Linked DNA regions of Neodiprion lecontei. The protein of the gene in region 1 interacts with the protein of each later gene in a pairwise test. Links are inferred from orthologs where the notes say so. Each region holds a gene or a part of one and is shown in the gene's direction. Other genes may lie near its edges.

Region 1 (12,524 bases):
TAGCGTACCACGGAACGCGATAAATGGTCCAGAGATGCGTTTTGCCCATTCAGACGATCACAGAGATTAATCGAATGGAATAACGATCGGTGATGACTAAATAATCGAATTGGATAACGATTGAAAAATCGTTGCAAAGTGACAAGAAGTGGGAAATTTAATCTCGTTAATACTCAAATGTTTACAAATGGTCGACAGACTCGAATGTGGAGTCTTTTGGGAAAATGTCTGTGATCGTTTGACGCTGTGGATTACAAAAGTTAGTAGCATCACGGTACATCGCGACCTTCCTAACCTCGCCTGTTTCCCAACGAACCCACCCAACGGAAAAGAGAGATTCACACACTCATGCATAAACCCCGCGACGGATCCCAAAACGTCCACCTACCTACCCGGTTACCTATATTCGACCTAAACGATTCTCCATTTTTTCCAACACACATCATTCTTCATCATTTGCGCCGTGGTCACTGACTTACATTTTCATTGGTTACCTGTTGGGAGCAAAATGTTTTTGTATCGTAGTCTGCCTACTCAGAATACAGTATCGCGGTTGTATCCCGCCAACTCTAATATTGCATTTGTTATTTTAGTAAATGTTGGCAGACTATCGGTACATTAACCTTTGGTAAAATTGATTAAAACATCCTGAATTCTAATTAGCATTTTTCTAAGCGAGCTAAGCCTGCAGTTGATCAATACTTGTTGGCTGTTAAAAGATTGAAAATGATATATAAGATGCAAATTGATTTTGAAATTTAACAATAATGTGGATAATTGAATACTTTTGAAACCTCAGGTGAACCCACCACTTAAACGGCATCATCGGTAAATTCAAACGTAGATTATTACATCAGTTACGAAACACAATTCGATCTCGCGAGTGCCGAGTAAGCGATGGTTGCCTGTCGCGATGCTCATTCCACTTTTAGCAACGTGTAAAATTTCTAATTTGAAGTAAGCTACGCTAAATTGCATTGCGAGAAATGATGATTCCACTGAAAGTCAAGCACGTTGCGATTGTGAATGAGCCTATCCATGTAGCTAAGAAATCGAAGATTTGTGTGACAATTGTTACCGCCACGCCACGTGACAAAGGAATCCCAGGGAAATACCCGTAACCTAACACATGCAAACTCACCAACGTTGCCGAGAAATGGAAAAGTTACTCGGAAGTCTCTGCTTAAATCTGTGAAAAACAAAACACGACACTTGAATTAATTTAGGAAATTGGCTTTTCAGTTTTCAAATTAATTATTACTGATGTCTTGTTTCATATTTACGAATTCGTTCGGCTTTAAATGACCACCGTGAACTATCAATCAATAATTAAAATAAGTATTGTTACCTCGACTGTGGGCTGTTCCACACTTTCACATGCAGTAGTTGCAGCATCTCAGGTTTATCGGTGAAGCGACGCACTTTTCACATCATTCACATCTTCACTAGTCTCTTATAGTTCAAAAGTCCGCACCGCAATAACACTCGGATTCTACACTCAGTTTTTGTGCTACAGCTGTCTGTTTGAACCGAGTGAATAATCTTGCTAACAATGCAATAGCGCATTTGCCGAAAATAAGCCATAAAAATATTAAAATTGACACACGACGCACAGAGACAAAACACACATCACTAAAATCTGAAGTTACACAACAAACAATGAAAACTCGGGACACAAAATTCACCTTCAATGTTCGCAGGATGTTTTTACTTTAGTAACTCGGTTTTTTGTTAGGTTATACACGGCTCCTCGTGTATTGTTCACAGACAAGTATGTTGGAAATGCACTTGAACCACCGGTCGGAATGTTGAACTGATGCCGAGGACGGATGATCTCAGTTCGATTGCTCGGAGACGACTGATTCTGCTCGGCGCTCCCGCCCTCTCTCCTGATCTTCCCGTGGAGTGGGGGTAGTTGCACCCGCCACCTAGCTGTTTTTCCTCTCCCGTTCCCCAACCCGCGCACGACGATCACGGAAGAGCGACAGAGAGGGGGGGAGAATTATTATCTTCTATCCTTTAGAGAATCGATTCAAATCTGTTCACGGGACGCTCACGCCGTTGCTTACGCTCTATTTTATATATCCATAGTCTCACGGCCGGGTGTAAACACCACGCAAGCTACGCGCAACGCGATCTAATGTTTACAAGACTGCCGTAACGTGCGCCGTCAGGCGAAGTATCACTTCTCCGACCACTTACGGCGTTGACTGAAGATATGTAAAGACTGATAGTCTTATGGGACTTTTCGTAATCAAAAATGAACGAGATAAACACATCGTGAAGCGGCGTCCTTTGCGTAGTATTTACGCGAGTCTCCTTTTCTTAGGACGCCCAGCAGCACAGACGCTCGATCGCAATCTCACCCCACTCACTATCCTTGGACCGGTAAACACACCGGCTTGCAACCCGCCGCATGCACATTTTTCCACACAATTATGTAATACAATGTAGCAGTGTCGGACATATTTTAGTTTCAAACTAAAAATCACAATTGACAGCACTCATTTTTAATTACGCTACTAAAATTAAATTTTTCACAAAAATTCTCAATTCGAGTTTTTGAATTGAGAAATTGAAAGTAATTGCAATAATACGAATTTGCTCATTGAAGAAGATGAATTAATTCTCAATTAAATTATTCCAATTATCGAAATAAAGAACTGATTCTTTATTCATCGTTTCGAATCACGAGAGTGAAAACAAATTCCCAGTATAATTTTTCGAATTAAGAAATAAAAAATAATTCCCACTTCAATTTCTTGGAGTACAAAAAAATAATCACAAATCTAATTTTATGAATCAAGAAATAAAAAACAATTCAGAATTGATACTTTACTTCTTCATACAAGTAGATACTGGCTTGCCTATCAACGCTAATCTGTATTTTCTATGTAAAAATGAATTTTATCCCGTAAAAGATATAAATTTATCAATAAATAAATAAACAAATGAATTCATAATTCAATTCGAGTTTTAGGCTGATACCCCTATACATATAATAATAAAAATCCACGTCGCGCACTTTCTAACTCTAAATATTCCAAAAAAATATTTTCCATTGACAAGGATGATTATGGTTTGGGACAAAGTTATCTGCATGTTCAATTATAAATACGCGCAAGGAAATTTTCGAGTTATCTTCTAGCTATACTACCATCGATTACCGGTTTCGGTACTCTCTTCATTGTAGGTGGCTACAAATCAAGTATCTCTTTGATCAACCTTTTCAACATTTTTAACTCCACCTTTTGGAAACGTAACAATTATATAGTCAATTCTCACTTCTTAAAATGAAATAAATGTGCAGTGGTGCAAGGTTTAACTATACGTGCTTCAACTTCCTTTGATGCGGAATAGCAGTAGATTATAAGTATGAGTATCTTTTGATAACGGCAGTACGTATAGCCGACAGGATAAAAATTGACTTTACGAATAATGTTGCGTTGGTAACAGGATTTAATGATTTGAAAGTCATCGGATCATTACCCTTGAAAACCACTTATTGAAAAACAACCGTTGATATTTCAATAATGTTATTTATGGCATTCAGAACATTTCAAAATTTGCTCTGAAAGAAAGAGATATTCCCAATTTTTTTAGCGCTTCAAAGAACTACGAATTGACAATAATCAATATTTAGCATTTCAACAATTGAGAAAAAAAATATGGTTTGATAAGTCAATATTATACAGAAGATAAAATAAATTTTTTGTTTCGTCACATTTCTAAAAAGGTGTATGACTGAAAGACAATTTTAAAACCTCATCAGAATTTAAAATAAATCCGCAAATATTTTATTCTTCATTCCACTTAATTTGCAATGAATCTCATGATAGATTCATTTCCATTATTAATTTTTATATTTATTCAAGAACTTGCGGAATTTTTCTTAATTAAAACCCAATTATCGTTTACAAATTTTGGGAAAAACTCATAAAATAGGCTCATTCTTCTACATATCTTCAACGTGCTTCTAGCAAAGAAAAAAGTGTTTCAGAATTTTTCGGATATTTTCAAAACTTGAGATATCGAATTTCTTCAAATCGTAATCTTAAAAGTGCTCATCAAAGCAAACAAAAATTCTTTATAGAAACATTCTTCAAATGGTTGGAACTAAAAATAGAGCATTTCAATATTCTTCCAAAATACTACGTAAAAAACTTTGAAAAAATGAATTGAGCGTCTTAGAGATGATACTGTCGCCCGCAAAAGATTTGATGTATTCATGTAAATATAAATGATACACGTTCATGTCCTTGATTGACATTTATTTTTCCGTTGTATAATTTCGGCACACATATGTCTTGAACGGGATTTTCTCAACTTTGCAATTTCACCATGTCAACGGTATGTTATCAATGTTTTGCACACGATTGTTGTTGGTTATGAACTTCGTTTATGGGCGTGTTCAGTTGCTTGGTTGATAATACGGGAATCTGCTAATACCTCCAAACCGGCCAGACCCGACAAACTGTTACGAAAAATAACCCAGGGTTATCAGTCTTTGTATATCTTCAGTCAACGTATAAAGTCTGTGATTCGTCCCCTGTCCTGACCAATGCCCATAGTATGCATAGTGTGAATGCATGTGGCTAGCATTCTTAAAGGTTCGAATCGTAGTTCGAATGCCACATGGTTGTGACAATGTCTTTTAATTCAAAAACTATTGCAGTTTAAGTTATCTATTGTATAGAATTATTCACCGATCATGAAGAGCTCGAGGGTTTTCCACGACATCATCAACGTCGTAGAAGCAAACACCAAGAAAACTGAAAATTATTTGAGGTTAATTCTAATTCATTTCCAACAACCGTAGTTTTACAGGTCCAATAATTATTTCGACTGGAGTACGTTAAAATTGAATGAGGCTGCAGTTCTCAACGTTATTTTCAAGTTGTACTTCTACTTCTAGCAAAACCCGGTTTGTTTGAAATTCAGTGAACACTGAAACACCGTCGGCATACTCAGATTTTATAATCTGAAACTTTTCAAACTCATTTTAAAGTTGTAAAACGATTTTTCTTTTAACGTTGCGTTACTTATCCATTACTAACTTCAGTCCCATGAAATTGAAGTAGATGTAAAATATATTCATTTAGAAAGAAAATCTTCATCTTACGATTTTTATCAAATAATTTATGCAGCCAGTGATTACCTTTCATTGTTCGGCTCAATTAACACCGATAATTTTCATCTTTGTAGCATACAGGCAGGTGCATCGTTGGAATTCCGTCACACGATAAAATCCCTTTATGATTTTACTAAGGAAGAATCTGGTCGCATGACGGAGGCGTTGCCAGAGCTAATCACAGAGGGTTTTGATACTGAGCAAATATGGCAACAGCTAGAACTCCAGAATGAAGGAGAATTGCCTCATATTCTGACAGGAGTCTCTAGATCGTTGATTGCGGGTAAGAGACTGAAACTACCTGTCAAGCTAACGAGGAGTGATGAACAACAAAGCAATGATAAATCAGGCCTCGATCAATCTTTGGATGGCGAACAGGTATCTTCCTACGATTCAGACCTAAGTGACGGCGACTTAAGTAATTTAGACATAGAAGGACTGGGGAAGCAGATGAGGAAGAAGAAATCGAAAAGAGTGGCCAAAAGAAAAACACCGCCCTCGATAGTAGATGATAAATTCTTCAAACTCCAAGAATTGGATGAGTACCTCACGAAAGAAGATAAAAGAGAAATGCAAAAAGGGAAGTCGAATGAAGAAGACAGTGATGATGCCGATGAGGAGTCTGTCGACTTATTTGAATATGTTTCTGATAATGGAAGCGAAGACAACGAAACTGACCCAAGACTAGTAAAGTTTAAAGATTTCTTTGATCAACCACAGAGCAACGATGAATCAAACTCTGAGACTGAGAGCAATCATTTTAATGAAGAATCTGAGAACGATACCAACCTATCTGTAGATGAAGAAGAAACAACAGAACCTCATAAGAAACGCGTTAAATTCAGTGTCAATGATCAATCGGCTTCAAGTAGTTCAGAGGAAGATGAATCTAAAAAGGAAGGAACTACAGAGATAAAATCCAGCCTAGAAACACGTCAAGAAAGACTGCGAAGAAAAATAGAGGAATTGGAAGAAGCAGCAATTTCAGAAAAACCTTGGCAATTAAAGGGTGAAGTTGATGCTGCATCTAGGCCACAGGATTCACTGCTGCAGGAGCACGTTGAGTTTGACATAACTTCCAGACCAGCTCCTGTGATCACTGAAGAAACAACATTGAAGTTAGAGGATATAATAAAGCAGAGAATAAAAGACAAAGCTTGGGACGATGTTGAGAAGAAATTTAAACCTGTTGAAACCCCAATGGAATATAAAAAAAAGCTGGTGTTAGACCAGGAGAAGAGCAAACTTAGTCTGGCACAGATTTATGAAAATGAATACTTGAAACAAAAGGAAGCGTTGAACCCTGACAACGAGGAACGAGAAACTGAGGAACCTAAAGAACACATTGAAATTCGTAATATGATGCATTCTTTGTTCAGCAAACTTGACGCTCTTTCCAATTTTCATTACACTCCAAAATTGGTAAGCCATCAGTTTCTCTTGATGCAGCATCTGTTAATTCTAGTTAGATCCGAAATGAGACAGATTAGAATTCACAAATTCATAATGTATCGATAATGGTTTTCGCATTTTATTTTAGGCCAGGCCTGACGTCAAAATCGTTAGCAACCTTCCTGCTGTAACGATGGAGGAAGTAGCTCCGATAGCCACAAGTGATGCAACTTTATTGGCACCAGAAGAAATAAAAGGTAAACCATATAATACAGCAATCAGTATCTATCTGAATACAGAAAAAGTTCGCTATTACAAATTATTCAATTCCGTTTCATTACAGCAAAATCGCGTGGCGACCTGATCGGCAGAGCCGAGAGAACTGAGACGGACATGAAACGTGAAAGGCGTCAAAAGAAGTTGAATCAACGAGACAGAGAGAAAGCTAAAGAAAAGCGGGAAAAGATTGTTGGGAAATTGAAACCTGGTCTTGGAAATAAGTACAGTAAGGAAAAAGCAGCAAAGATGATTGACAGTTTGAGTAAGGAGCGTAATATTTCAAAGATAGATGAAACGAGTGGAAAGACGGCAAAGTCTTCCACAGCATTCTTTGATCAGCTTCAGGATCAAGTCAATTTTCATATAAAATCGAAAGACGGCAATGTGCGGAAGAAGAAAGACAAGAAGGCATTATCCGCGGTGAAATTAAAACTCTGAACTTGTATAGTCGATAATTAAAACAATTTCCTCTTCTACTATTTTTTTAAAGTACGTTAGTTACAATTAGAGGTATTCATCATTATTATTATTAATAAATGAAATTTAAAACACGAGTTTTCTCCGTATAGTATTCCCCATATATTAGTGAAAAAGTGTTTCCGTTTTCTCACGATTATGATATGCTATGGTTTTTTTTTTGTTTTTTAAAACTTTTTTTTGTTATTTCTCAATCTCTCTCTTGCTTTCAATCTAAAATATTGCTAAACATATACAAATGCAACAATTCACAAGTGATAGTCTTATTATAATTACAATTATTTAATTATGTGCTATGTTATTACTAATATCTAAGAAAAAATATTACTTAGAAAATTGATATCCATTAATGACATCATTTTGTAAATAACAAGCAGCTTCGAGTGAGTTATATAATTTTGTACATTGTCACGGTCGTGTCTTTGTCTAATATCTGTCATCAAAAACATTATAGTAATTGCACGGTTTACAAATATATGAAAAAACAATTTCATTAAGCTACTCCTTATCATATATATCTACGATGAAAGCTTGCAGTCGAAAAGTTTTAATTTCTTATTCGTAACTATTCTGAAAAGTTTGAAAAATATTTCAATATTTTTTTTGTCAACTCCTTGTAGTTTTCATTTTTTTCCTCTTCATTTTAAATAGTTTTCCACTTTTGCAATGAATTTCTCCAGAACACTGGCAAATAAGTATATGGAACATGGATCGATCAATGATTCAAAGTTGATCATAAAATGTACATAATTAAATATATTTAAAATACCATTCCAAGTAGAAATTGGAAATTCTGCGTATTAACTATCCTTATTTGACTTCGCTTAATTTTGTTAAATTTTATTTACTTTGTTTCTTTTCTAAATTGAAAGTATTAAGATCAGGAAGGATGGTAAGGGCTGAGTAAAAATATCAATAAAAGGGATTAATATCGAAGGTGGAAAAATACAATATCAATAATAGTTATATTAATTAGTTATTTTTCTACCACCAAGATTTCCCCTGCCCCCCTTCCTACTCGAAATTAGTATTGAACATATTGAGCTCCTCAAAACCAGGGGCTCCGCCTTGGTCCTGTAACATCTGTAACATGTCCGATAACTCCTGAGGCTGCGCTCCTGGACCTCCTTGCGAGGGGTGAGGACCCTGGCCTTGATTAGCGACCGGTGCACCCGCCTGTCCACCGTCCTGCTGTGCTTGATGCGGCCCTTGATGCTGCTGGCCTTGCCAGCCCCACATGCCTAAAATGATGATCAAATAAAAAAATCAATTGCTGGGGGGGTATACCTACGTATACGAGTAAACGGCTCAAAAAGCGGGGGAATTTCGAGAATTCAAATTTCTGCTATCGATTTTCAATTTGATCATGGTTTATGTAATTTAAAAGTATGTAGATCGAGATTCATTGAGGTCTTTTTTTTAATTATGATCTATTAACAGAAAGCATTGTTATTGATACTAAATTCAAACATTTCGCTCAGTGGTAGTTTTGGTACCTCAAATTTGGAGAGTTTTCGCGGCGAGTTTATCTTCTCTTCCGGAATCCAAAATTTTTTGTTCTCAACGGAACAAGAAACGTTTAAAGTTGGAATATAATTTTTCACAAAAAAAAATTTACCACTCTTTTTAAGTTTAGTTAACATAATAATATGATGATAGAAAGAAATAGGATTGTGGCGAAAAGAATAAACTGTCCAAGAATGTCAGCTCCAAGTTGAAGTAAATTGGTTGAGCCATTTTTGAGCTATCGTGAGGACCACAAAAGGTGTCAATGAGCGAAAGAGTTGACGTTATTGTCAATAACAATAGTTCCTAATAATTGATTCTAATAAAAATTGTATTTAAATGAAGCTCAACCTGCATACTCTTGAATAAAACGATCCCCAATCGAATTGAATGATTGATTGTCAAGATATAAATTCTTAGAATTCACTCACTTTTTTAGGCACCTACTGGTATAAGCCCTGTTAATCGAATAAATTTAATCATTAACCCTACCACACGTTGACTTACCCGGATTGTTCGGAACTGTTGTAACCGCGTGGTAAGACGCCGCAGGTGTTCGAGCTCCACTACTAAGCTGAGTATAAGTTGGACCACTTGGAGATCTCGACGGACTTAACTGGTGGTTATACTGGTAGCCTTCGGTGACAGGTTGTTGCTATAAAAGAATAGGGTGGCATTGAATGAGACAATTCCTGACAGGACCTGATGCGGAACAATAATTGCACCGTTGATATTTACCTGTCTGAGTGTCCAGGCTTGCTGAACGGGAGTCGGCGATGTGTTTGCCGGTTTTGGTATACGATTTAGAACCGAGGAGGAGGTGCTCTGCTGACCGGGGGATCCATAGGCTATTGGTGACTGGGTCGTTTCATATCCCTGGTAAACGTTTTGAGCACTGGATGGTCTTGCTTGTTGGGGTCCTGTAAGTAGGTGACCGAGATGAAGTGATAACTTGGTCAAAATTCGTTTGGCGACATTCAGGTTTTGCGGCACTTGACAAAGAATTTCATGACAGGTGGAAAATCAAGTTATAAGATACCATACCTGCAGTAGCAACTGTCGCAGGATGCTGCATCATTTGATGGGCTGGGTAAATAGCCTCTCTGGCAGGATGTCTGTGGACGCTGTAGTCAAGACTAGGTTGTCCATAACCAGAGACATTCTCTCCTTCGGTTTGTCCCTCACCACCAGGGTGCAAGGATTTGGCCGTTGTGTTCGTGCAGACTATGTACTCGACTTCATCCGTGTAAGGGTTGAGAAACGCAAAGGCGGACGTTCTGAGCCAAACCCAGTCCCGATTTTTCGCCCGAAATCGATACATCACCGACATAACTTGGCCCTTTAGTTTCAGTACTGTGATATAAGAAAAAACACGGTCAACAAAAAGTTTCGACCATTTTTTTCCTAAGTTTTATTTACCTTGCTCAAAGCTTTCCCTCATGTGCGTCAGGTCTTCAGGGTGAAAAAAATCGTAGCAGGGATGTCCGAGGAGCTCAGATGGCGTGTATCCCAGGATTCCACCGACCCTCTGATCGACAAAAGTGAATTTTCCTTCAGCTGAATGACGGGAGATGAATTCTGTAGTACAGAGAAATTCACCATTGGATGACAGTCAGTTTTAGCGATTGAAGTTTCCAACGATATCGAAGGTATTAATGTTGACACAATGAAATATTGAAAAAACAAATCTCTATTTCGCAACTCCAGAATGACTTTAAAGCAGTTTAGTTTGCAAAGCATGAAGATATCTGGCATTATTATGGCTTACTGCATATCTAACTATACTAAAGTTGGGAGATAACGATTTTTTCTAAAAATGCATCGTCATTTCGAAATGCATTGATAGTTTTGACCAGAAATGCCATCAGTATAAAACGGCTAAGAAATCGTTTAGATGGCCTGTAAGAATGTTGTATGGTATGCTGGATCAAGCTAGTGTAAATAGTTTCATTTCATGTAATTTGAATGAAAAAAACAGCCATACAAAGAAACAAATTTATCAAAGAACTATCATTAAAACTTGTAAAACCTTAGTTAGGAGACTGGTTATACCCACTCGACATCTCAAATTGCGAAATTCAATTGAGGATGTTTTAAAGCCTAGTGATATGCCAGAGGAATAGGATATCCAGCATGAATTGGCCGATAATAAGATAGCGAAAACCAAATGATGCAACTTGTGCCCTTCTTCTCCCGACCATAAAACGCGTTATAAATGCTTACAATACGATAAGCCTGTGTGGAAAGAGCACTTTGAAAAGATATGTTGTGAGAAAAAAAAGAGAACAGTTTCAACTGACCAATTCAAGCCAAACGATCTAAATGACTGAAGTTTTACCGAGTATTCCTCACCCAGTCCGTACTGATTGAGACTTTTTTATAGTCTATATGATGGGGATTAATATCTTAAATAGATTTTTTCTACTTCTGTGATTTTAAAGAAACAGATAAGCATTCCTTCAGTGTGTTAATGTTATTTAAACAAGATAAAGTAGCATCTCACCATTGTTACTGTTTGAACCAGTTAAATCACTGGTATTTGGTGTGCTTGTGACCTGAAGACGTCCGATGGCTACTAAGCAGCAGTGTGACGAGCCGCTGTCGTCACCAACGACTCCATCAGGTGCCCCTGGAACTCCCCCACCCTGACCCCTGTCACCTATACCCACACCTGGTACACACGGGGAAACAAAATCACCTACGATTTAAAAGAGCCTGTTAGGTACCCAGGTCCACCATCGAAAACTTAACAAACTTAATTATATGTACATGTAGAGAGTGGTCACAGATATAAGTGAAAAAAAAAAAAAATAACTGTCCTTTCATTCAGATGTAAATGCAGTATTTTCGTGAATAAAAATAAACCAGTGATTATTAGGTATTGAAAGAAACATGTTTCGATTAAGCGTAATTATTGACAATGAAAGCAAGTATCAAAAAGTTCGACATCCTAAGATATGATTTTCTACCAAATATTCATTGCCCGAAGAAAACAACACATTGACTAATTTTTTTCTTTATTGTTTCTCTTTGTGAAAACCGAAAATCGAGAAACTGAATTGCCTTGCTGTGACCACCCTGCAGACATAATTAAGAAACGTAGGTTCAGATAAATGGGCCAACTTCACTTTCCACTGCCCATCATACTCACCGGTTGGGGGCCAGTTTTTAATGTAACCAGTGCAGTGTACTACTGCATAACTTTGACCGTCTCTTGCGGGTGGTCCCAAAGAGTTTCTCTGCTTAAGACGGTGCAAACCATGTGCCGCGGCCATGTCACCGCTTGTCTGAAGGCTTCCAACTTTCATACGACAAATGAAGCCCCTCCTAGAGCCCATGCAAAGTCTCATGGATGCTGAAATTCAAGTAAGAGTTGAAATGATAAAACGGTTGAATTTTTGCCGAGATTATGTACGAACGTTGTAAAAAATAGTACTCAGAAGACTATTGTGTTGCAATCGAATATTTGATCAACTAAGTCTTTTTACCGCAGATTACTAGTATTTTACAAACAAATCCGTTGAAGTAACATTTATGTCGATGGTCTCTAATAAAATTCACTCAACTTTAGAGAGGTTGATTATTAAAGACCTAACTTTGGCGTGACGATTATAATCCATGTAACTCTGCCGACCCCGATAATAAAGCAATTGTCTTCTATTCATATACACATGAGTTAACTGTTCTATCATTGGGGCCCGTAGAGTTATTTGGATTATAGAAATAAAGGATGAGCATT
Region 2 (9,003 bases), on another chromosome or scaffold:
ATCCGAGAAGTTTGAAAGGGTCTTTAACAGTTGAAGATACTTTGATACGCTTCGTTTTAAATTTTTTTCATTTATCCGATAAAAACCAGAAGGAAAAAAATACCTTTATTCCGGAACGCCGTTTGGGTTGAAATTTGAAATTTAAATTTGATATTTCTTTTCTGTTCTTCCGCAATACGTGACTTGTAAACTTCGCGAAGCCTCGGTTACTTTATGATGATACATTGAACGAGTAAAGAAATCCTCGGGTAAAATCTTTATTCGGTATTCTTTTTTGGAGAGCATTCCCTACCCCTTTTCGTGCATAATTTGTCTCAATTTTACATTACGTGTACGGTGATATGCATGAAACAGAAAATTGGTTCAAACTGCTCTAGTGGTTTGCTAGTGTTAGATGAAAATAAAAAAAAAGATAAATCGAATAGTCAGATCAGTACGCATGTTGTTAAAAAGTTGTAACGGCTGCGTTAAAAACTGCTTTTTCTGGTTGTTGAAATATGCATTCGGTGGCCCAATGTACTTGGGATAATGATAATATACTAGTGAAAGAAAGTAAATAACTAATTAATTAATTAATTAAGCAAATGAATGAATAATGAATATCGCAGTCTGAATCATCTGCACATTTTTGATTGATTGTTCGAACTTCAGAGCAGCAACATCACTTTTCTGCAATATCGTCCTACAGATCTCAAGAATATATTAAAAAATTATTTTTTTAAAAAAAACCAAAAAAAAAAAAAAAACAAAGAAAAAAGCCAACACATTCACATTCCCGTCGCGAGCCTAAATCTACATGGCTGAAACAAACTATCTCAATATATAGTATGTATTTTTCATCGAACATAATTGAAATTAATATGAATATATACAGTGAATGTTATTTTTCATGCAACTAATTACAAAGTTAAGATGAACCGGCTCTTGATCACTCAAGACCGATCGTTTATCTGTTAAGGAAATATATATTTGACGTTACTATAATAACAATATTCTACTACTACACCGTTGTCTGTTGTATGTTTAATGGATTGAACGTCCGAAGAATTAAATCAAATATGTATATTACATAAATTATTATTTTATATTCGTCGTTGTACATATTTGAGCTCATTTTTATTTAGATATACAAGTTATCTTACCTCATGTGCGACTTTTGTTTTATCACTGTCACTATTACATGTCATCAATTTCTCTGTCACTCCAAATTTCCCCGTTAAACTATTCGGCATTTTATTCGAATTAAATAGAAAAATCATAGAAGCTTACAATGCTGACAATGTTGAATCAAATACTAAAAAAAAAAAACGTGATCTGCATTGAATTCAAGACATTACATGGGTAGTAAAGTTCACTGATAAATTAAAAACTACTCCCTGTGGGTTGCTTAGGAGAAAAGAAAAAAAAAAAAAACTAGAAAAATTCTTGTATCAAAGGTCGCAATTATTGTCAAATTTGGTAGCACACGCAGACGTAAGATTTTCTCCAGCAATGCTAGAGTTGTGGGACAATCATTAAATAATTTTTCGCCTCTTTCATTTAAAAGTGCTCTCGATAAATTTGAACACTGCTTTTATTCCAAATGATGCTAATTTTAATGGGTAACACGTAGCACACTCTACTACACACTGTACATGTAATGGATGTAATCAATCAATATTCACACAGCAATTCAGTAAATAATGCAAAAATATTATCATAAATGAACATTACATAATTGATGCAGGTCTCGCGTGAACAAGAAACCGTCCCAATTCCACGAATTGGAGCCAAATCATTTCGAGAAGATATGAATTTGTTGCCTAAAAATTTTATGTAGACTATTCGAGTAACTAGGTCTCTCATAACCAATTACGAAGAAATCGTGAGTTTAATTATTTTGAGAAATTCGAATTGCCGAATGAATATTTTCTCCTTCAGTATTAAAAATACGAAAGTTTGACAGTAAGAATTCTTTACATAATTAGATCAATAATTTGCTTGGAACAATTAGAAAGTTTATTTTGTGCAGGGCTATTGGTCGAACATTCGGACATTGTCTTGATAACAGCCAGTGCACTTTCGCACTGTCGCACAGCTGTAATTAATTTATCACGATCCTCGGGGTCTGGTGTTGCTGCCAAAATTGTACCCAACCCAACGAGCCCTCTGAATATTGCTTCGGGCTCAGTCAAGAGCGGCAAAACGGCAAACATCACATTAAGTACTCTTGTTCTGCCAGGTGTATCGTCAAGTTTATTCAATGCCACTATTAGATTAAGCAGGTAACTCGCTATCGCAATCTGAAACAACAGTTGTAAATTGATTAATTGTAGGATTGAAAACATGTACGGATAGAAGCTCTAAGAACGTTGGCGCTGATCAAACCGTCCCGCATGTCAGAATAAATGTTGAAGTACCGGTTATACCTGGTTATGTTTACTTCCAAGAGACGAAAGGTCGAGTATCGTCTTGAGTAACTCGTCTTTATAATGTAGACCCAATGCTTCACCCTTACTATGGCAGAACATATTAGCTAGTACTCGAAAAGCTAGCATTTGATTAGCTGGAAGTGCATCAGTTTTGATGTGCCGCCTCAGCACCGCCAATAATCCGTCATTGCATAGCTGCGAGTTAACATCTGGTCGAAGTACAGCCAGCCTTGCAAGGTCTAGTGCTGGGAACACCAAGTTATTTGGCCAATTCAAAAATATTTTCAACATTTCAATTGGATCAGCTCCAACCTCGTCTCCGTTTTGACTGCACAATCGTTTTACAAATGGGTCTAAGCATTCCTCCGAAACTGTGTGAATGCCATTGTCAATCTTTTTGTTGAACTCTAGTAATTTTTCTGGAAATTTTAACAAATTATTTGTTGTATATTTTTAGTAGTAACAAAATTACTGGTATTTTATGTGCAAAAAATATGCAATCATTCATCACCAGTGATAGCTGGAACATTGGCTTGCTCCAATTTCAAATAGGTAGTATGCGGTATATATGTCTGCGACACAGAACTACTGGAAGAGCTAGCCGACGGTGTTGGCACATTATTTGGTAATGTTCTTCCAGGAATTCCAGATCCTGGTATGTACCTATTTCCTCCTGTAAAAGGATCAGCGAACTGGGGTTCGGCGTTCAGAACTGGGGCAGACTGAGAATTATTTACAATGAAGTTTGCCACCTGCAAACAGGAAAATGTCATTGAAGGGTCTTCGTAAGCCATGTGCATAAGACATTTTGTTTGATAAAATTGATATCTTGCCTGTTCAAGAAATAGTTGACTAAGGTTATTATCATGGATAAACTTTTGGGCCGCACACCAAGGATCATCGCCATTATTGTAAGGCAACTTTAGAGGTGGAACACCGTCTTGAATGTCGACTGAGAAAACGTAGTCGTACTCCATACCATTATACAATTGTTTACCAGATGTGGCTGGACTACCACCAGAGGCACCCATCACATCTCCCACATGTTGCCACTGTTTGCTTGATTGCGACCAGCTGTAAGCCTTGACGGTATTTCCATCTCTTATCATTTTTGTCTGACCATCTCTTTGTCCAGGTTGATGTAGAGCTTTGGCATCTGGCAGACTGTGGGTCACCAGGAATCATCATTGTTAATGTTTTTGATCAAAATACATAAGATGTTAAAAATTTCGCACAATCATTCTAAAATTATGTCATTTTAGAACAAGTCAATGATGCGTAGGATTAAACGTACACCCTTTCCTTCCAGAAGTAATATTCAAAGATGAAAGAAAAATTTGACAAGAAACAGGGAAGAATACCTACTCACTAATCTTGATGCCACCCAACTCCTGCTCAGCATTAAGCTGGGTATTAGCGATGGCCTCGTCGTACTGTTGCAAAGTTGCAGCATCGGCATAACGTTCAGGTTTAGCAGAGAAAATTCTAACTAATCCATCGGAAGATCCAGTGACAATGTCTCCATTTGGCAAAATGTCAACTGACCATATGGACTGCGCAGGGAGTGTTAAAGTCTGTTGGATTTCAGCGTTGTGCCAAATCCTAACAGTCCTATCTTCTCCGGAAGTAACAACATGTGAACCGCCCAGCAGAAACGTCGATGCTATTCCATACACGTAGTTCGTGTGCCCACAGTAAGTGCCGAGGCAAGTCCCTAGGGATACACTCCAATGTCGAATGGTTGCGTCATTGGCACAGCTCAAAAACTCTTCGTCCTTGATCACGCATATTCCACGAACGCAATCTGTGTGTCCTGAGAACTTGTGGAGTATGGTGCCATTTCTCCGCCAGGCTATAACCAGCTTGTCAGCCGATCCTGAGACTATGACGCCATTGGCCAAATCTGCCACACACCAGACAGCTGCCGTGTGACTGGTCAGAGTCAGTTGTGGTGAATCCAGCTTGTTGATATGCCATAATTTTGCTGTAAGATCCCACGAACTGGATAGGAATGTTCCCTCCTCCTTACCTGCACTCAAATTGCACACAGTGTTTTGGTGCGCCTTTATAGTGTGCAGCGGATTCTCTTCCCCAGGCAGGTAAATGCAGATATTGTTGTCGTTGCTCCCAGTAATTACAAAGCCATCCGGGAATTGTTCAGAGGGGTTTATTACGCATACTGAACTCACAAAGTTGCTGTGACCCTTTAGCACTGCGGATTCCGTGTATCCGGCATTTAATCTGAAAGTTAATTATTGCGGAGGGTCAAGCATCATGAAAACCTGAGCAACGAAGCGAATTTCCGTTCGCTAGTCAACTATGGAACAACCAAACGGGGAGCTTGACAATGAAAAGAAAATCCCTCATTTACACGTTGCCTCGATCACAGGGACAATAATAATTCGTTGTGGGACATTCAAAGGAATATAGGTTAGAGCTTCGACATACTCATTCGGCCTCCAAAGGCGAGCGGTTTTATCGCGCGAGACTGACACCAGACTTCCATCCTTAAATGCCGCTACAGCTCGCACATCAGAACTGTGACCAACTAACACGGAACTTAATTTATACGGTGCTTCTTCCATGATCTATCAAAATTGATTGTACGAACCACTATAAAACTGCATCTATCATCTACTGTCATCCACGCCTGTGCTCACGGGCGATGTAGTAACGCACATTGTCCGAAATTTTCATCAAATTCGTTGTCTTAGGTGTCCGCAACGCTCTGCTGGTGGCCGTGAGTCAAAACTTTAAAAAGGGCTGAAACTCTGAGTCAAATTTGATTTAAACGTGAAATAAATAATTAACGTACTCCAACACGCGTGGAAAATATCATTATTTGTACGGTAGACTGCATAGCCTTGTTCGTTTTTTACAAGATGCGTTCATAATTATAGCACGTCGATTATTGATTTCACGCTTCAACCGAATTTGAGACGAATTTAAAAACTTCGAGAATTGCCCGATGTCTAGCTATTCATATCTAGCTGTAGCGTAAGTTCTCTACTTTTTACTCAACCTATGGAATACGAGTAGCAAAACACGTGTGTTGCATCGGATTTGATGCTTGTTTGACGGCAGCCTCGCAAATTGTGAAAAATAAATAACGCATTATTGTGTGCTAAAGGGTTGATAAAAACGAAAAATCGAAGATGTTGAGAAGACAAGCGCGACTGAGGCGGGAATACCTCTATCGAAAGTCAGTACAGGACAAAATGAAGACGATCCAGGACAAGAAAGAGAGGTTAAAACATAGCCTAGAAGAGAATACTCCGATCCATCACGACCTAAGGAAGAATGCATTGCATTTGCAAAAAAAAATCGAGTGGGAAGATGCAGGCCCCGAAATGGCCGTAGCGATCAGTACGGAGATGGGAGGAGCAATCGGCACGCACGAGGACGACGAATACCGATGGGCAGGTGTCGAGGACCCGAAAATAGTTATAACGACATCGCGAGACCCCAGCTCGCGGCTGAAAATGTTCGTCAAAGAGCTCAGACTCATATTTCCAAACTCCCAAAGGATGAATCGCGGTAATTACGAAATGAAACAGCTAATTCACGCCTGTCGTGCCAATGACGTGACCGATTTTATCATGGTGCACGAGCATAGAGGGATTCCAGACACCCTGGTTATCTGCCATCTGCCCTACGGACCTACAGCCTATTTCACCATGTCAGACGTCGTCATGCGTCACGATATTCCAGACATTGGAACAATGTCTGAACAGTATCCGCATTTAATATTTCACAACTTTAAAACTAAACTGGGACAGAGGACTGTCAGCATATTAAAGCATTTGTTTCCTGTACCTAAGGAGGACAGCAAAAGGATAATCACTTTTGCTAATCACGACGACTATATTTCATTCCGTCATCATAATTACAAGAAAATAAATGGCAAGGATATTGAAATGTCTGAAGTCGGTCCCAGGTTTCAACTTAAATTGTACGAAATCAAATTGGGCACATTAGACAATGCTGCTGCTGCTGATTCAGAGTGGGCGTTGCGACCGTACATGAATACTACTCATAAAAGACGGTTTTTATCTGAGGAAGATGGGTGGCAACAGGAAGATGACTTTTAGATGCACTTCAAGTCAGACATATGGTTTTTTATAAATAAAATGAATTTTGTATGTACAGCTATGAAATTGCCTTTTTCTCATTTACCGTAAATCTAACCTTTAATTTTTTCTAAACATTATGTAACTCGATATTCAGTGCATTAAATGGAAAATATTGAATGTTTGAATCATCTGCTCTTTTTCAAGTAATTTACAATTATTAATAACTCATTGATGATGTCAGTTTCGCGCGCAAATCGAGTCGCCACGAAACAGTAATTCAACCTAGATGGACGGATCATGCGCACTACAGTTTCGGTTGCAACGCTGCAGTTGTTTTTAAAAGATCAGGGTAATTGTGTGTGTGTAAAATTGGTCTAATTTAATTACGAGCACTGAAAAAGAAGTACGATCATTTAACTAAACTTGAAGCTTGTTTTAATTTAAACAACCCCGTCATGCAGGCGGACATTCGAAAACAAGTACCAAAACTTGAGAACCCCCAAGCACAGCGGCGTAAGAAACATTTCGACCAGCTCGACGAAATGGAATCGTTCGCGTCCCCGAAACGTCATCAAAAAACGGATGGTGAGATACGTCCAAAACGCGTATATAAGCAATTTGGTTAGCTTAGCTGCATCCTAAACACTACTGTGTCAAAATTTACGTAGACATTGGCGCATGGATTTTATTCATTTAGTAGTAACGTTCGTTTTTGCGATTTAGCCTATTCTCCGTATCATGTAGTTTCTCGTTCTCTTGCCACGTAGTTAGCGCTTGTGTATTTGTCGCGGTCGGCGTTGGAACTAATTCATCAGCGCGTAAATTGAGCGCAGTTTGGAACGGATCGATAAATTAACATTCAATTATTTAATTCAACTTTACTAATATTTAGAACAAATTTTCGCATATTATGTTACCAAATTTTTCACAATAAGTCGCACGTAAAATTTTTCCAATACCAGGGTCGTCGCAAACGTGAAAATTTCTATGTAGCCAAAGAATTCTATTAAATACCCTGAAATTTAATCCCATTCTAAAGTCAAGCCACTCAATTTGAGTCAATCATCCTATGAAATAAAGAGGGACCTGAGAACTAGATTTCTGTTCGTAGGGAGTAATACATTTGTATTGTGTTCAAAAAATGCTGTCTGCAAATCAATATTATTATTATAATTGCGAATAACAAAGTAAATTGTGTAAAGTTGAAATTTAAAACAGTATTACAGGGTGCTATTGGACTTTGTTCATTCAATGGTTCCCAAATAATTTCATATCTCACTTAACTTGATAAGCATTTTCTTATTGCTAAAAGAAATTTAGAATTGTTTAAGTTGGAATGTGATAATTTTGACGTATTGAAACTGTAAATTTCTATACTTTGAAACAATCTGAGAGAAATCATCTCTTTGTTCCTGAAAACTGGTTAAGCTTGAGAATCTGGAAAAAAAAATTTTGCAACAACCCTGTAAGTTTACATCGTAATTAACTTTGGCAAGAAAGTTGCTGCAAGTAATACTTTATTTGAGTTACACCCAATATATAGGCCGACCCTTCATCAGTTCTGACCAGTAAATCCAATTTGCGTAGTGAATCCTACTTTTCAATAGTTTGGTAGTTTTGAAGTCTTTCATTTGGATTTAAAAGCGTAGTTAGATGTAATGCGATGTGTTTTTATCCCTGATCCTCTTTTGGCAAGATCTAGTTGGCTTTACATTTCAGATTTAGAGGTTACAGGGATATCACGTAGTGGTCGCGTGCGTAAAAAGTCCTCTAAACTTATGGACTTTGAGTCTCCTGATGACATAGCAGACAATAAATACAAACGACAAAAAGCCCAACAGTTACACGCACAGCATTTGCTAGAGCGTTATGAGGCGCATCGTCAGCAAGTTACTCAAAGTCATTCATCTCAGCATGGAGACGCCCCTGTTCAACGGCAACGCAAAAACTCTGGATCCCACATCGGCAGAGTTAAGGCTGAGCCGTTGTCCGAAAATGAAGGACACTCCTCTGGCTCTTATTCTGAAGATGATACGGCAATGAACGAAGAGGAAAGATATAGCTTAGAATCTGGTAGTGATGATGAAGTGGATCCCTTATTGATTGATGATAGAGAAACCGGATTCAGGAGACTTGAACCACCCGGTCAGGAAGCTCCCTCACAGGCAAATAGTTTGTACATGCTTGAGAAGTGCAAGAAGAAATTAATTATCAAGGATGGTAAGATTATTGGCAGAATGAAGGCTCAACGAAAGGATAAGGGTGTAAGTAAACTATAATATCTTTTACTTTTCAATTATTCATGACTACTTTTCAAACGTAAGAGAGACAAATCATCCTAAAATTAACCATCTGGAATGTTGCTTTGCTCTTGGATTGATAAATGAATAAAATTTCATCTTACAGAAAACACGCTTCACAGCCTATATGCTGTGGGCAAAAGAGATAAGACACGAATTAATGAAGCAATATCCTGAAATGGGTGAGTGAATATTGATGTTGATACGCTGCAGTAAAAT

The links.
Region 2: the proteins of U3 small nucleolar ribonucleoprotein protein MPP10 (region 1) and U3 small nucleolar ribonucleoprotein protein IMP4 interact in a two-hybrid assay, tested with the Drosophila melanogaster proteins (2 studies listed by BioGRID). The link is inferred for Neodiprion lecontei from reciprocal best matches to the Drosophila melanogaster genes CG13097 and CG11920.

Annotation. Positions count from the first base shown.
Region 1 is NC_060262.1:22,090,630-22,103,153, forward strand, and holds U3 small nucleolar ribonucleoprotein protein MPP10, read left to right. Parts: upstream 1-4,554; 5' UTR 4,555-4,711; coding exon 4,712-4,788; intron 4,789-5,205; coding exon 5,206-6,553; intron 6,554-6,671; coding exon 6,672-6,780; intron 6,781-6,866; coding exon 6,867-7,240; 3' UTR 7,241-7,851; downstream 7,852-12,524. Other genes in the region: aryl hydrocarbon receptor nuclear translocator homolog, read right to left, coding at 8,294-8,520, 9,293-9,440, 9,524-9,705, 9,830-10,138, 10,205-10,363, 11,289-11,483, 11,937-12,140.
Region 2 is NC_060263.1:38,127,182-38,136,184, forward strand, and holds U3 small nucleolar ribonucleoprotein protein IMP4, read left to right. Parts: upstream 1-5,426; 5' UTR 5,427-5,566; coding exon 5,567-6,502; 3' UTR 6,503-6,557; downstream 6,558-9,003. Other genes in the region: phospholipase A-2-activating protein, read right to left, coding at 1,956-2,282, 2,409-2,830, 2,923-3,163, 3,245-3,575, 3,777-4,652, 4,860-4,996; HMG box-containing protein 4, read left to right, coding at 6,940-7,069, 8,204-8,748, 8,891-8,966.